4 linked regions of the Saccharomyces cerevisiae S288C genome follow. Changing the gene in region 1 together with any one later gene gives a genetic interaction. Each region holds a gene or a part of one and is shown on either strand. Other genes may lie near its edges. The genes, in order: RCK1, MBA1, KCH1 and CAT5.

Evidence for each region.
Region 2: mutations in RCK1 (region 1) and MBA1 together harm fitness more than expected from each alone (negative genetic interaction), as found in Saccharomyces cerevisiae (3 studies listed by BioGRID).
Region 3: mutations in RCK1 (region 1) and KCH1 together harm fitness more than expected from each alone (negative genetic interaction), as found in Saccharomyces cerevisiae (2 studies listed by BioGRID).
Region 4: mutations in RCK1 (region 1) and CAT5 together harm fitness more than expected from each alone (negative genetic interaction), as found in Saccharomyces cerevisiae (2 studies listed by BioGRID).

The regions. Positions count from the first base shown.
Region 1 is NC_001139.9:205,024-209,071, forward strand, and holds RCK1 (putative serine/threonine protein kinase RCK1), read left to right. Parts: upstream 1-2,009; coding exon 2,010-3,548; downstream 3,549-4,048. Other genes in the region: carbonyl reductase (NADPH-dependent) ARI1, read left to right, coding at 3,983-4,048.
Region 2 is NC_001134.8:598,242-601,798, reverse strand, and holds MBA1 (Mba1p), read left to right. Parts: upstream 1-1,839; coding exon 1,840-2,676; downstream 2,677-3,557. Other genes in the region: PCH2 (Pch2p), read right to left, coding at 1-1,246; YBR184W (uncharacterized protein), read right to left, coding at 2,865-3,557. UniProt on the Saccharomyces cerevisiae protein: Mitochondrial inner membrane-associated mitoribosome receptor that spatially aligns the mitoribosome exit tunnel with the membrane insertion machinery and allows cotranslational protein membrane insertion.
Region 3 is NC_001142.9:533,809-538,149, forward strand, and holds KCH1 (Kch1p), read left to right. Parts: upstream 1-2,247; coding exon 2,248-3,741; downstream 3,742-4,341. Other genes in the region: BFA1 (Bfa1p), read left to right, coding at 219-1,943. UniProt on the Saccharomyces cerevisiae protein: Low affinity potassium transporter that, with PRM6/KCH2, participates in high-affinity Ca(2+) influx system (HACS) activation during the response to mating pheromone. Directly promotes K(+) influx and HACS may electrochemically respond to this K(+) influx.
Region 4 is NC_001147.6:558,149-561,534, forward strand, and holds CAT5 (putative monooxygenase CAT5), read right to left. Parts: upstream 1,584-3,386; coding exon 882-1,583; downstream 1-881. Other genes in the region: ubiquitin-specific protease UBP2, read right to left, coding at 1-494; IAH1 (isoamyl acetate-hydrolyzing esterase), read right to left, coding at 1,813-2,529; GTPase-activating protein RGA1, read left to right, coding at 3,022-3,386. UniProt on the Saccharomyces cerevisiae protein: Catalyzes the hydroxylation of 2-hexaprenyl-3-methyl-6-methoxy-1,4-benzoquinol (DMQH2) during ubiquinone biosynthesis.

The sequences.
Region 1 (4,048 bases):
GCTTATACTACATATTGTTGTACACCATGGGTACCGTTAAATGACAGTGTAAACAATTGCAGAAGGAAATGTTACACTAGCGGTTAAACAATACTGAATTAAAGATTTTTTAGTTGAATATGATATGACAGTTATATACGTGAGCAATATAAGTCCCCACATTGAGTGTATGATAACTACCGGAATTACTATCATATTGTTCGTAAGCAATAATAAATCAATTAGTGTGGGTGTTTTATACCTCTCTCATATGAGTATATAAAGATCCTTATTTAATTTTGATTATACTATCTTCTAGCCTTCAATTATCGACATCGCTCACTTGAGCAGTTCATCTAAGAAAAAAAGAACTATAGCTAAATAACCCAGTATTATTTGTTTCGCTGTAGGTTGTTGCACAAGGGTTTCTTCTGTGAACATTTTGAATTGTACGCTTAAGATGATAATACCTAACTGATTCCAACCTATATTAGTAGAACCGAAACATACAAATAAGTGGTTGTTTGGCCGAGCGGTCTAAGGCGCCTGATTCAAGCAATATCTTGACCGCAGTTAACTGTGGGAATACTCAGGTATCGTAAGATGCAAGAGTTCGAATCTCTTAGCAACCATTATTTTTTATCTTTTTGGTTCTGTGATCAAGCTACCCGCGTTTGAAGCCGACTAAAGACGAGAAAAATTAGACCTTCATTTTTGCCTGTTTGCTGCATGTAAAAGAATGTTGGTTGAACATGTCGTTTAAGAGAAGAAATCGGGTACGGCGCTCTGGCTTTTAAAATTGAAGAAATTGGTGTTCTTCCGGTTAATACTTTGAACTCGGCTTTTCTTAACATGTAATAAAGTTTGTTACATCTCCCATAATTAAGTTTCTGGAACACGCATTGTTCTATTTTTAGACGGGAGACCAGAACTTCCTGATATATGACCGCTTTTTAGTGACTACGTATACTTTCTTTCTGCAATTACGTGTAAGAAAAAATTGATTTTTTATTTTTAAATTCACGGAATTTCAGACTGTGAAAACTTTGTAGTTCCAACTCACTTTGCTATGCAAGAAAATAATGAGGGGAAACAAAAAAAAAATGAGAGCGGAGAAAAGAACAATGCAGCTCAAGTATGAAGAAGAAAGTCACAGCAACGGAAATAAAAATCAAAATTGCGAAAATTGACAATCTTGACAATCGAAGCGGAAAAACAATGGAAGGTCCAGATACCTGTTGACCTTAAAAATGCAGAAAAATCGCCTTTATACGGCGACATTGTGAAAAATGACGTTAAAATCTTGTACATAAAAAAAGGGAATTACAAACTTGTAGTGTTTTTTTTTTTTAGGGGACTTGCATGAAAGTTAAATTTTATAGAAGTAATTAAATAGTCGATTTCCTTTCCTGTGTGTGACGAATCTAGATTTTTTTCATGTAAGAGACCCCGCCCTGCGGAGAGGGGCAAACAATTCTAGCAGAAAAAAATCAGTGGAAAAAAAAAAGAAATTCCGGATATGATAGAATATTTCTTCGAGAAACCTTTTGGATGAGGAGTGCCCTTCCATGAAGAAATTCTTCCTGCATCAGCACCTTCCCGGCAAGGCATTTCATTTTTTTTTTCCGAGAAGAAGATTTTTAAGTGGGCTACCCCACGCTTTCGGTGCCTATGGTAGCTGCATGATCACACAATGCACTCCCATTAAGAGTTTGTGAAGTGCATGAGATTGACATCTCGGCGTCCCTTAGTTTCCTGTCGGATTTTCAGTTATATGGAGTGGGTGAAGTCATTATCCGAATATTCGCGGATCATTGACGTATAAATACTTCATACTACTTCATACCAGATATTTCCTACATGTTGAAAGTCAATTGAAAAAAATAAATCATCACTTAACTCTTTTCCAGTGACACATCGCAAAGATTACTCAAATAATCTTCCTAAAACAATACTACCAGCATCTATTTCATGCAGCACCAAGCACAGAGGCTACATATCATATAAAATAAGTCATCATAGAGAAAAAAATGTCAGTAAACCCAGAATTTATAGCCGATGGCATCGATTTTTATCCAACAACGCCCGATGCCGCGTATTTCAATGCCGCTGATGGTAAAAATAAAGTTAACAGGATAAATGGTAACTCAGAAAATTTACACCACTCCTTTGCATCGGGTTGCCGTAGATCATCTCTTTCAGTCGACTTTAATGTTACCTCGTCCGATTCAGAAAAAAGTGAACAGAGCTGCTTGGAAAACAACTCTCAAGAAGACGAATATTTTTGTGACATTTTTTCCACTGAATTAAAATTAGATGAAACTTCTAACAAGTCAACCGATTATTCCAGTTCAAATCACCAGTATCCTGAACAACTGGAGTTGCACAATTATAAACTGCTCAATAAAATTGGTGAAGGGGCATTTTCCAGAGTATTTAAAGCAGTAGGCATCAACACGGATGACCAAGCTCCTGTTGCCATCAAAGCAATCATAAAGAAAGGCATTTCGAGCGATGCCATCTTAAAAGGGAATGATAGAATCCAAGGTTCCAGCAGAAAGAAAGTCTTAAACGAAGTTGCCATCCACAAACTGGTTTCGAAAAATAATCCGCATTGTACAAAATTTATCGCATTCCAGGAATCGGCGAACTACTATTACTTAGTGACGGAGTTAGTCACAGGTGGGGAAATATTTGATAGGATCGTCCAACTAACATGCTTTAGTGAAGACTTAGCTCGTCATGTCATTACTCAGGTAGCAATTGCAATTAAACATATGCACTACATGGGTATTGTGCATCGTGATGTCAAACCAGAAAACCTACTATTTGAACCTATCCCATTTTATGGCCTTGATGGGGACATGCAAAAAGAAGACGAGTTTACATTAGGTGTCGGCGGAGGCGGTATTGGTTTAGTGAAGCTAATGGACTTCGGACTAGCCAAGAAACTTCGGAACAATACCGCAAAAACTCCCTGCGGAACGATAGAATACGTCGCATCAGAAGTATTCACCTCCAAACGATATTCCATGAAAGTTGATATGTGGAGTATTGGCTGCGTACTATTCACGTTATTGTGTGGATATCCTCCGTTTTACGAAAAGAACGAAAAAACATTATTGAAGAAAATATCGAGAGGAGATTACGAATTCTTGGCGCCATGGTGGGACAACATAAGTTCTGGCGCTAAGAACGCAGTTACCCATCTTTTGGAGGTTGACCCAAACAAGAGATACGATATCGATGACTTCCTAAATGATCCTTGGTTAAATTCGTACGATTGTTTGAAGGATTCAAACTCAAATTCTTATGCCAGCGTGCAAAGCATACTAAATGATTCATTCGATGAGAGAGCAGAGACCCTACATTGTGCATTAAGCTGCCAATCTGAAAAACAAGATGACACCGAGTTTTCCAGAAGTGAAAGCTCGGAATACATATTTATGACGGAAGAAGACAGAAACCTACGGGGCAGTTGGATCGGTGAGCCAAAAGAGTGTTTTACCTTAGACCTTGCAACATCTTCTATATACCGAAGAAGGAAGAACAAGATATTCTTCTGGTAAACTCTTATCCAGTGGAAAACGCACCCAGCATATTCGAAAATATATCAACTGTCTCCCCTTTTTATACTAATAATTAATAGCATTCATATTGAAATAATAAAAAAGATACGTTTAATATTTACGCCAGCTCTCTAGTTACAGTTTCCTAACGCATACGTCATCAATTTGTTAAGATCGGCTTCGCTCTATAAAAATGTCGGCCGAAATTAGCATAGGATTTTCCGCGGTTCCGACCCCTATCCTAGAAACACGGAAAAACTTGCGAATAATTCCGGAATTTATTCTATGCAACTTTATGAAGACAAATTACTATAAATGAACCGCTCATTCAGAAAAACTATGTCTCGAGCTCAATGGATCTTACTACATAGTTTATAAAAACAGTAATTGTGCATTGTACAACTGTGCTAAACAGACTTAAAAAAGTAATAATTATGACTACTGATACCACTGTTTTCGTTTCTGGCGCAACCGGTTTCATTGCTCTACACATTATGAAC
Region 2 (3,557 bases), on another chromosome or scaffold:
ACTCATTTCTACTTGACAAATTTGTTCTTGAACTTGCTATTGCTTCAACCTCATCTATCAAAAGGCATATAAAGATCCCTCGTCCCTCATTGACCTTTAAAAGCTCCTCAATGTCTTTGAATACTATTGATATATTTTTTGACGATTCTCCAAACCATTTAGAAAAGATGCGTGCACAAGACAATTCTATTATTATCCCCTTATAATTAGTATCAATGGTATCGGAACCGTCTGAAAATTCCCGCCTCACAGATAATTTTTGGCAAAGTGCTTTGCATAACGTTGTTTTACCTGTTCCCGGAGGACCATGGACAAGGAGTAATTTATTATTTGTGATTAGCGTTGTAATGTCTTCTTGATTGGAGTCTCCAGTTTGTTTGAATCTTGCTATCTTGAGAGATATAGTTGCGTAGCTATATAACCTTTCTTTAATATTGTTACCAAAATACAACGATTCCCATTGGCCCTCGAAAGTTGTGCCTGGAAGATATGATATATTTACTAAGTTTAGTGTTTGCTTACTTAGTGGAATGTCAAAATTTCCCACCGAATTGATACAATTGTTTAAAGTTTCTCCCTCAAAACCATCATCCTCGTCTAGTTCTAAGTCAATCTTGTCGAACTCTGTGGACAGTATGCTGCCATTTTTCAGCTCATCTTGCTCTTCCAGACAGCAAAAGGGATATATAATGAACTCGTCAACAGATCCCATGTGATAAGTGTCCGACTCGTTGGTCTCCTCTGAATCTAAAATAGAATCTATGTGCTGACCCAAATTTATTTTCTCATGAAAGTTCAATTTAATAGAGACGTGTGATGTGGACTGTTGCTCTATAGAAATTTTTTTAACGAATAAGGATAGAAACAAATTATCTTGTCCTTCATTTACTGTGTTAACTTTGCCATTTATGCTTGAAAACTGGTGTAATAAAACTTTTGCTAGGCTTCTAATCAAATGTTGTTGCGCCTCCGTTGGTGGATCCTTAATTTCAATACTTCCTTGCCCCTCTCTCATTAATTCTTGGCCAGTTATAATCGAAGTCTTTAAACGGTCTTTTGGGAAACTTTCCAACTTCCTCTTGACCACTGCTTTTAACAGATTCAAAAATTCTCCCAGCTTTTTGTTGCTGTTTTGTTTCGAGTCAGAACCAGAATGTAGAGAAGAAATTTGCTCATCCTCTCTAAACATACATTTGATAACCCTCAGAGATGATCCTCGCACTTGTAGGTCAACTATGTAGCTCATATCCTTATTTTATGTCTTCAGTTTGAGATCAGAATATTTTTATGAAAATGTTGTCACTCTCTTTTAACCGCCTCGCATTTCGTAGATTTGCCGCCCACCTTATTGTCAACGGCAAATCTAAGGATATATATACATATATATATATTTTTGAGAAAGATTATATTTTCGCCAACGATGAAAAAGAGAAAAGTACAGTACTATGTATTATGTGTTTTTCAACTCAAGAGAGGGGCAAACATATAACTGGTGCTATATATGATTAAGGCTGCGCTCAAATATACTTCTTACTTAATTGACTGAACAATACGTTGATAAGATGAAGGAAGAGTCTCAGATATTGGTTTCACAAAAAATTCAGAGAATGGAGTCATTTCGGTTACGGGCAATCTTTCGGTGATTGGTACGGAGTATCGCGATCTTTACACGTTCCACTAGTCAATCCAATCCAATTTATTCATTTGTCCGTAAATATTCTGCCGGCCTTCTCCCCATATTACAAAATAAAAAAATAAAACCTGAGTAATGGAATAGTTGGAAAAGCAAGGCAAATTTCCATCAGAAAGCAAGCCTATCCATTCAGCTAAGCTTATGAGATGAGTGTATTAAGATCTACATGCCTTTTCTTCCCTCCAAGATCCTTGTTGATATCATTTAACAAGCGGCGATTATTTTCAACTTCGAGGTTAATTTTGAATAAAGAAAGTGAAACTACAAAGAAGAAAGATAAAAGTAAGCAGCAAGATTTTAATCCTCGGCACCTGGGTGTTGCTGCCGAAATATTTATCCCCTCGGCTTACAAGAACCTTCCAAATGTATTTGCTCATCCTCTCATTGTTGCAAATGCATTGATCAGAAGACTTTACACGTTTGGTTTGAACTCTGTTCAAGTCGCATTGTTTCGTTTTCAATCAGGCATTAAACCTTCTTTTTTACTCTGGAAAAACAAAGCCATAGAGACGTATATCAATGTAAACACGTCATTTGCTCATAAAAATTTGTCGGACATCAAAGGGTTAGTTTCATTATGGGTTCAGGAAGCTCTCGAGGCTAGGTCCCGTCAACTTCCAGGTAATGCAACACTGGACTGGCAGTTGATAAAGTTTAATGCAGTTCCTAAACTAGTCTCAGTGCAACCAATCATGATTCCCGGAATGCCGTTAGAGCATTTACAGTTGGTTTACAAATTTGATACGAAGCAAAGACTAATTAAAGTCAATCAGCAAACTAAGAAGACTGAGACGTTAGACCGTGACGTTGTAGACTATATTGCCTTTTTGTGTGATGCTACAACTAATGATATGATTTTAATGGGATCTTTGTTTGAAAGTAAACCAAATGATAAATTACCGAAAAGCTACGAGGACGATGCTAAAGTTGCCATACACAGAATGAAAGTTAACGGTGATATATATCGTTTACCTCCAAGCTAAGGCAATATGTATATAAATGCGAAAAGTTTTGGAACATCTGTAAATAGCCATTGCTTCATTTGAGTTTCTTATTCCACATACCACTTACATATTCAGTAAAAACTATTCATTTGTTTTTCATTCTGAAGTATATATATTAAATTTATTAAATAGTTTTTCATGAAAAAAGTTATTGAAGCATCTCCCTTTCAATAGTGCATTAACTCTCCCATTCTAACCCATCTTTCCGTTGAATCGTCATAGAACAATGTTTCTGACAGATTGGTTTTCCTATAACGATCTTTGCAGCACAATCTGTGAAATAATTTCCATAAGCCGGTAAGAATAGTCCTGTTATAGCTGATACTACCTTGTACATAATTCATATCACTGAGCTTTGCTTCATCTTTTAGAGGCTGAGACTTCTCAAAACCTTCTGCGCTATCCAAACGATAGGTGCTGATTTCTTTTAATGCCAATGAATTATTAGAACACTTCCTACATTTAAGAACAACCTCTTCCTCGGACCTTCTCTTTCTATTTTCTGTATCAAAAGAACTGTCTTTTTCAATTGCTGCTGTGTTGTGAGGAATAGATCGATAAAGTACTTTTTTTTGCCCTGTTCGAATAACAAAAAGAAATAATGTCAATTCATTTGCACTGTAACAGTAATCAGCGCTAAAACCCTTAGGATGATATCGATGATTTGAAAGTATAATTGTGAAGCCACTATATATATCACGCAGTAGCGTAAACTGTGCTGCTTCGGACTTCAAAAGTTGAATAGCGTATCGTGTGCATTCCCAAATATTATCGACAACGTTTGGATAGAGAATAAAGGATGTGTATACGGTTATTTCATGATGGGGTAGAAAACTGAGTGTAGAAGAAATATTTGCAAT
Region 3 (4,341 bases), on another chromosome or scaffold:
CTAATGTTTTTATTCCTATTATACTCAGATCGTCAAATGTTGCCTTTATTTTCTATTGAAGGGATTTTATGGCATCTCGCGAATAATAAACAAACAATAATAGTAAAAAAAAAAGTGTAAACTTATGTATTCAGCGCAGATAAAAGGAAAAAAACGAGAAGTTTGACGTAAAGAAAAAAGTTCGAAAACTTTTGTAGCAGTTGAAAGTTTTGTATGCTATGTCAATTAGGCCTCTCACGTTAAACGGTTTAGATGAGCCAGAAACCTCTTTTGAAGAACTGAATACAACTCTACCTCGCTTTCAATCCCATGAAACATTAACTTTGGAAGAAAACGTGCCACCATTGAGTACATCAACTTATATACCGCCTCCATCCTCGGTAGGTACTTCTGACACTGGCACGGTATTTTCCAATAGTACCAGCGCGTTTTGGTCTAATAAGCAAGCAGACGATGATCAGGACATGGAGGTAGACCAGGATGATGAATTTCTAAATGACTTCCAGGAATTCCAAAATAAAAAGGATGATTTTGACGATGCTATTAAAACAAATTTTCATTTGAGAAATGGATGTCGAACTGGCCCTTTCAAAAACGACATTTTCGCAGAAGAGTTTGATAGAAAACTGAGTTTGGAAGATAAACCAAGGCTAAAGCAACCTAGATCAATGATGGAATTGAAACCAAAAAGAAAACTATCAAATAGCGTCACTTCAAGAAACTTAAGGTCTGGTAATTCTGTAAGATTTAAGAAATCTATGCCTAACTTAGCTTTAGTTAATCCAGCTATCAGAGAAGAAGAAGAGGACGAAGAACGAGAAAGAGAAGATCAACGAGAGTTTAATTACAAGATTGATAACGATACGCAGGACACAATTTTGGCGAAATTCAGTTCAGATGATGAAGGTGACTTTCTGACAGGATTTGAAGAATTAGAGGGTGAAGCAATTGATGAAACGATTTCTTCGAACGATAAAGAAAGTGCCGACCATCCGCGTTTCTTAAAGAAGTCATCCTCATCTTTGCCATTAAAAATATCACCTGCACAATATGATATAGTAAAGCATGACGAATTATTAACTCCAGGTCTTCATAGGCGACAACGAGATTGGAATACCCAGCAGGAACTGGACTCTTTTAAAGAAAAACGATCAGTAAGACACTGTTCTAATCAAAATGTACAACTCAATGGTCCAGCTAAAATCAAAACAATAAAACAGCAAATTGATCATAATACTCCAATGAAGAAAGGTTCTATGATATATAACCCGAAAACTATGAAGTGGGAAGGAAATGAAAACGTCTTAAGCAAATTTAGTGATGTAGACACGGCAAACAGGAAAGCTTTATTGATAAAAAACAAGCTACAACGAGATGCAGATTCTAAGAAGCAAAAATATTCTGATCTACAGCATGCAAGAGCCACTTCGAGAAATCAAAAGGTCATCGGGAACATGATTTTAGATGAACAAAATTTAAGATGGGTTAGTGTTTCAGAGGAAGAAGCAGACCCTTTTGCAGGCATTCCTGAGATAAACTTACCACCAGTTGGCAAAAGTATGAAAAAACGTAGCTCCTCACCATTTTTGCGTTCCAAAAGCCAAGTTAATACGCCATTTGTTTCAAATGACAATGATGGCGTTTATCAAAGTACGGCTGCTCAAGCAAGACTCCGTAAATACCATTCAATGAGGACACTTAACGGTACAACAGAAACTCCAGAAATAAGCTCTACTTTCCATTTGAGTTCAAGAGCATTGGAAAAATTTTACCACGAGGAGAACAGGTGGTGTAAAAAGTTAGCCTCATGGTTTATACCCCGAGATGAGACCATTATCAGTGTTGATGAGGAAACAATCATGGATGAAAGTACGGTCAATAGCAAGAGAAAATCCTATATGTATGAAATCAGGAACATGGTAATCAATTCGACAAAAGATTAGCCCTTTAGCCTTCTTATAACTGTTTCTTTACCGTTATCTTGAGTACATTCATTTCTCTTACATTCCAAAATTAGATAGAACCTTGAATCGTGTCAACTTTTCGCCGACATTTCGCGTCTGACAGAAAAAGAAATGTTGCAGAAAATTCGAATAGATGTTTCAAATGAAAATAGACCATGAGGGACACATTAACATTTCAAACAAAAGAGCCCTTGATGATTATTAAAACAGATCTTTATGGTTTGTTTAGCAAACACTTTGGTAATTTCATGAATATTTGACTAGCAGGAACAGAAAATCAAAAATGTTTAACCATGATTGGAAGTACTCCATTAATTCTAAGACTTTCGCCGATTTAAACATTGAATTATTTCGAAACCACAAGTTCAAAACTGTTTTAAATTACATAATAGGTGTAGTTGGGTGGAATGGATTAAAACTCGCCCTTTTTGTTTCTGACATTTACACATGTATCAAATTGCTGGCATTCAACTCCTGGTCAAACAACATCATCAAACCATACTTACCCTTTAAAATATCCAAATGGTTGTTTAGCGGTTGTATTTTAGCATCGATTGTGCTATTGATATGGGAGGCTATAGCGGGAATGAGGATTTACAAAACGGGAAATATCTCTTTGACTTATGTCAACAATTTTTCCAGAAACCTAAATTCAGTGCTCAATTATTCCAAGTTTTGTGTTTATAATATGATCGAACGAAAGGGTTTTCGACAGAAAATGACATTTTTTACTTTTTTTCAACTGAAAGATTGTATTAGATTAATCTTCACGGATACCCCAAGGCAAGTTATTAATGGTCTTACGCTGTGGTCAGTTCTCGTAACAGTAAATAAAAACGAGGATCTAGGCGATCTGGAATCATTTACCGGTTTGATCAACAAAATAAAGAACATTGGCCAGACCAATCATGAAGAAGCAGTGATATTGTCGCTGATGCTATTTTCCTTTATAATCTGGGCATTATTTGTCTTCAAGTTTCTGCTTGCTGTCATTTGCTCGATTTTTGTTTATTATAAAATAATCAATGATCAGGAATATAGCGGGTTGCGTGAGTACATTTGTGTTACCGTCAGCGAAAATGTTGATGAACTTGTTGAAAGACAAAGGAAAAAGGAAAATGATGACACGATTTATAAGACAGGTCTTCTCGAATCTCAGACTTTTGACGATTTTAAAGAAGTTGAAAATAAAATTGAAACATCTTTTAATGATACGTCATATGCTTCTAATAATGATTCTATGATTGAGCTAATAGAGAGAAGACCCGAATACAAAAGTCAGGATGTATGTGGGCCCATTCCCACAATGAAGAAAACGGAAACAATGGAATCGTTCGTTGACAATGGCAATCCACAATATACCACTAGATTCTCTGCGATTCTAGATTCACCATATATCAACAGCTATGAAAGTAATGATATAAAGAAAGCAAAAATACAAAGCAGAAGCGTAAATACTCCAAAATATGAGGATTTGTCTTCTTCTGACATTTTCAACAAAATACACTCTGCTGGACAATTAAAATCTACAACTTCTATGGAGTTTCACGGGCCATTAGATTCTATGCCAAATACAACAAACAACATCCGTAATTTTAATAGCAACAGTAGTAGACCTAGACCACCTCCTTTACAGACAAAAAGTTCGATTAATTCAAAAGCTGACTCGAATGATAATGGAAGGATTTATACACCAATGAAAGCGTACTTCAGGGAGCCTGATCTTCCGAGGAAGGGTTTGCTGGAAGATGAAGATCGTACATATAATTATACTTAATAGGCTGGCAAAAGCCCTTTGCATATTTCATGAATTAGATAGACGTGATTAGAAACAGCCGTTAGTATGTTTCTGATAAAAATAATACTTTTTTTGTAACACTATTTTCATATATTGGATTGATACCGGTTATAGCACAAACATAACAGCCATGAAAGTTTCTTTGAAAACCCCTTTTAACATTTGCTTGTAAGAGATAGGTTAATTTTTTATAGTTGCTGAGATTCCATTGTTGGTAAAGACTTAATATTAGGTATACAGAATATACTAGGAGTTCTCTCTGGGTATGTAGGAATCCACAAAAGGGTGTCACTAGTTCAACATAATAACATCTTTTTTTTATTCCTTCTTTGATATTTTGTCATATTATCCTATTATTTTATCAATCCTTGCATTTCAGCTTCCAATAGATTTGATATTTGTTTCTCAATATTATGTCATCTTCATACACAGTATGTGATAATATACTAGTAACATGAATACTACTAAATGAGTACTACCTTAGGGGTTCATTACAGCAGCTTAAGCGAAAGTAGAAAATGAGGCGGATATTTGTTGGAATAAAAATCAACTATCATCTACTAACTAGTATTTACGTTA
Region 4 (3,386 bases), on another chromosome or scaffold:
TGTTCTGCCAGTGATGGATTAAAGATGACCGCCTGAAATACATGTATTTTATTATATTTTGGGCATGAAATGGAATCATACTCGGATTTTGTTTGAAAAACCACTTGATCAGTTAATGAACCCAAGCAGTTAGGGCGAATACTACTTCTGAAAGTTGAGTAAGAAAGCATAGACTCTTTTAAAATACCCCTCGATTGCAGGCCCTTTTGCATGACCTTCGGGTCTGTAGAATTGAGAAAAATAGTATCGCAAAGTATATCGTCCAAAAGTCTGTCAGAAGTCTTCAGTGGTAGGTTGGTGGCAATATCTGGATACAGTAAGTGTTTTCCATCGTCAACATCTCCAGGGGTAGACTGCTGGTTTATACTTGTCCCGTATAATGGGAGGTCTTCTATAACAGACCCATTTCTGTCAGCATTTTCTTTATCCTGGTTTAGTAGTTGATTATGATGGTTCTCAATTGCTTTTTGAAGTTCATTATCTTCGTTCGGCATTTCCTTATACCTTCTTAACCTTGAACAAAAGCTTTCTTTTTAATTACCACTTTATTATTAGCAGTGGCCCCGTTTTTATGCAATGTTCTTCCAATGGCAAGCCGCTTGTTTTTTTCAAGCTATATGTACTATAGTTTTGCTCTAATTAACTGTTACTCTTGTTAAAGATCCAGTTTGTACTCACCCTTAGACTATGAACCCATACCCCATTTACATAATTATAGACAGTGTATCTATTCCTGTCATATTGGTCATATAGCGTTAAAATGCGTAAGGATGATACATAATTTTATACATGATAGTTTAATTAGGACATTTATCAAACCGTTTTCCTTTCAATTCTCCTTTTCTGGCATAACGCGACTGATGTATGCCACTTTCTGGTGGTTAAATTCTTTCGGCACTCCATATAGCTACTCTGCAAATCGTTTTAATACCTTCAGTGATAACTGTATATGGAACTGCCATATACGAATCATGCTTGATAGCGGTGTCTAGATGCTCTAGCTCGTCATCCCTGAACTGTTGGATAGTAGAAGTTAAGGATTTGATTTCCTCACTTGGACCCTTTGTTCCATCTGTTCTTTCTAAATTGAATTGATTGGCCAAGTTTCGCAATTGGCCATTGTAGTGCCCTCCGATTACTGTCTCGACAGCTTCAGTACAAGCCATAGCTGCTTCTGGAGAAATCAATGCGGTACCAGCCCCCATTGCAAAGGCTCCTGCCTTCCACAAAGGCGTTAATAAGGAAGGCCTGACTCTCCTTTTCAATTGCAAATTGTTAAAAGTATTATGATGATGTATCTCCTGGTCCCATATGTGCTTTAGCACAGGTTTCAAGTGAGGGTACCTATGAGCCAACACGAAGTACTGGCCAGCGTAGATGTAGTCTGCACCTAATTCGCCAGCTTGATCTACACGAATAACACGGTCCAAAAATGCAGCCTGAGCATCTGATAAATTCTGACACTTGGGAGCATGCTCAGGTTTTTCGGTGTGTTTTGCTGATGTATGTTCTGTTATCTTTAAAGATGATAAGACGGAAAAGCCTCTGCTGGCAGGTTTGAAAACTGAAACACGGGATAACATAATTTCTATGTATCTCTCCCGTATACGTGATATCTTTATTCCTTGAATTGGTTTGGAGGAGAAGATAACGACGTTTTCACAAGAATAAAACTCTCGTCTGTAAAAATAAGGAAACATGTTTTATAGATTTCTATTGTTTTTTTTCCTGAAAATCCCGTATATGAAAAATTATACAGTTGCTTAAAAGTTAGGGAAATATAGACAGAGTACGTACAAAGGATTACTGCATTCAAGACATTATGTTAGATCCATCATCTAGCACATCTCTCCAATCTTTCAGTTTGTACTGCATGTTTTTGGGATGATATTGGGGGTAGAATGTCTCAATGACCTTCAATAATTCGTCATGAAAAATTTTGTACCCTTTTCCGGAAAAGTGCAGTCCATCTGTTAGCAGTTGTTGCCAAGCATCACCACCTTCCTGTTGAAACGCCTTATTCAAAGCCACGAAGGGAACTTTTTCCTCATTGGCTAGTTTTGCTAAGGCATCGGAATAAATGGCAAAGTTCTCGTTGGTACGGAAGTATCCGAGAGCTATTTCTTCAGATTTTTCTTTTTCCCACTTCTCTCTATCTACTAGCCCCGGTCCTATTATAATAGGACGGATATGGTAAGACTTCATCAAAGATACCATTTGACGAATATTATCGATAAATTCGGGGAGGGGGACACTTTGGGGACCTGCTGAGCATGCATCGTTGGCACCCAAAAATATTGTGGCCATGACAATATTGGATTCATGCTTTAAAATCTCAGGAAGTATTTTCAACGCCCATCTAGAAGTGTACCCTTTGAACCCTCTTTGAAGAATATCCATTTTTCTCGTATATTCGTTGACTAATGCGGCTCCAAGAGCATACTGATCTTTGCCATCTTCAATGGGCCTAGTATTAAAAGCAAATTCAGTAATGGAATCCCCAAATAACAGAAACTTCTCGTAATCCATATTTGGTCACAGTTTAAGCGTACGAACAGATGATAATGTAGAGGCTAGTTCTTGGTTTCGTATGTGTTACCACGATGAGAAGGTGTAAAGTGCCCTTATTATTGCGCGCTTTATGCCGTATTAGGAAAAATGAAAAAAAAAAAAAGGCAGTTCTCGAGTTTAGATTTGATATAATTAACGTGTGCTTTTCTCTATTGACCTTTGATGAGATTGTATCAGCCAACTGGCTAATTCATTGAACGTTTTCCAAGGGTAGGACTGCTCAAACAGACTAAATTTCTTTGCCAAATAGGGTGTTTTGAGTTTTGATCAGTCAACATTCTTGATCAATTCACAGTTGCTTAAAATAGAAAAAAAAATTGATCGGTATCACTAAAATTTTTAAGAAACTGAAAAGCACCACGGTTTTGACATTTATCTCTATTATAGCTTTTTGTACAAGACAAGGATAGCTGATTCAGGTACTAGTGGTGGAGAGAGCGGCATATTAAAATGGCATCAACTGCTCCCAATGAACAATTTCCATCCTGCGTACGATGCAAAGAATTTATTACCACGGGGCATGCATATGAGTTGGGTTGTGATAGATGGCACACACATTGTTTCGCTTGTTACAAATGTGAGAAACCATTAAGCTGCGAATCTGATTTTTTAGTCCTTGGAACAGGTGCTTTGATCTGCTTTGATTGTTCCGATTCTTGTAAAAATTGCGGTAAAAAGATTGATGATTTGGCCATAATACTGTCCTCTTCAAATGAGGCCTATTGTTCAGATTGTTTTAAATGCTGTAAATGTGGTGAAAATATTGCTGACCTACGGTACGCGAAAACCAAGCGAGGTTTATTCTGTTTAAGCTG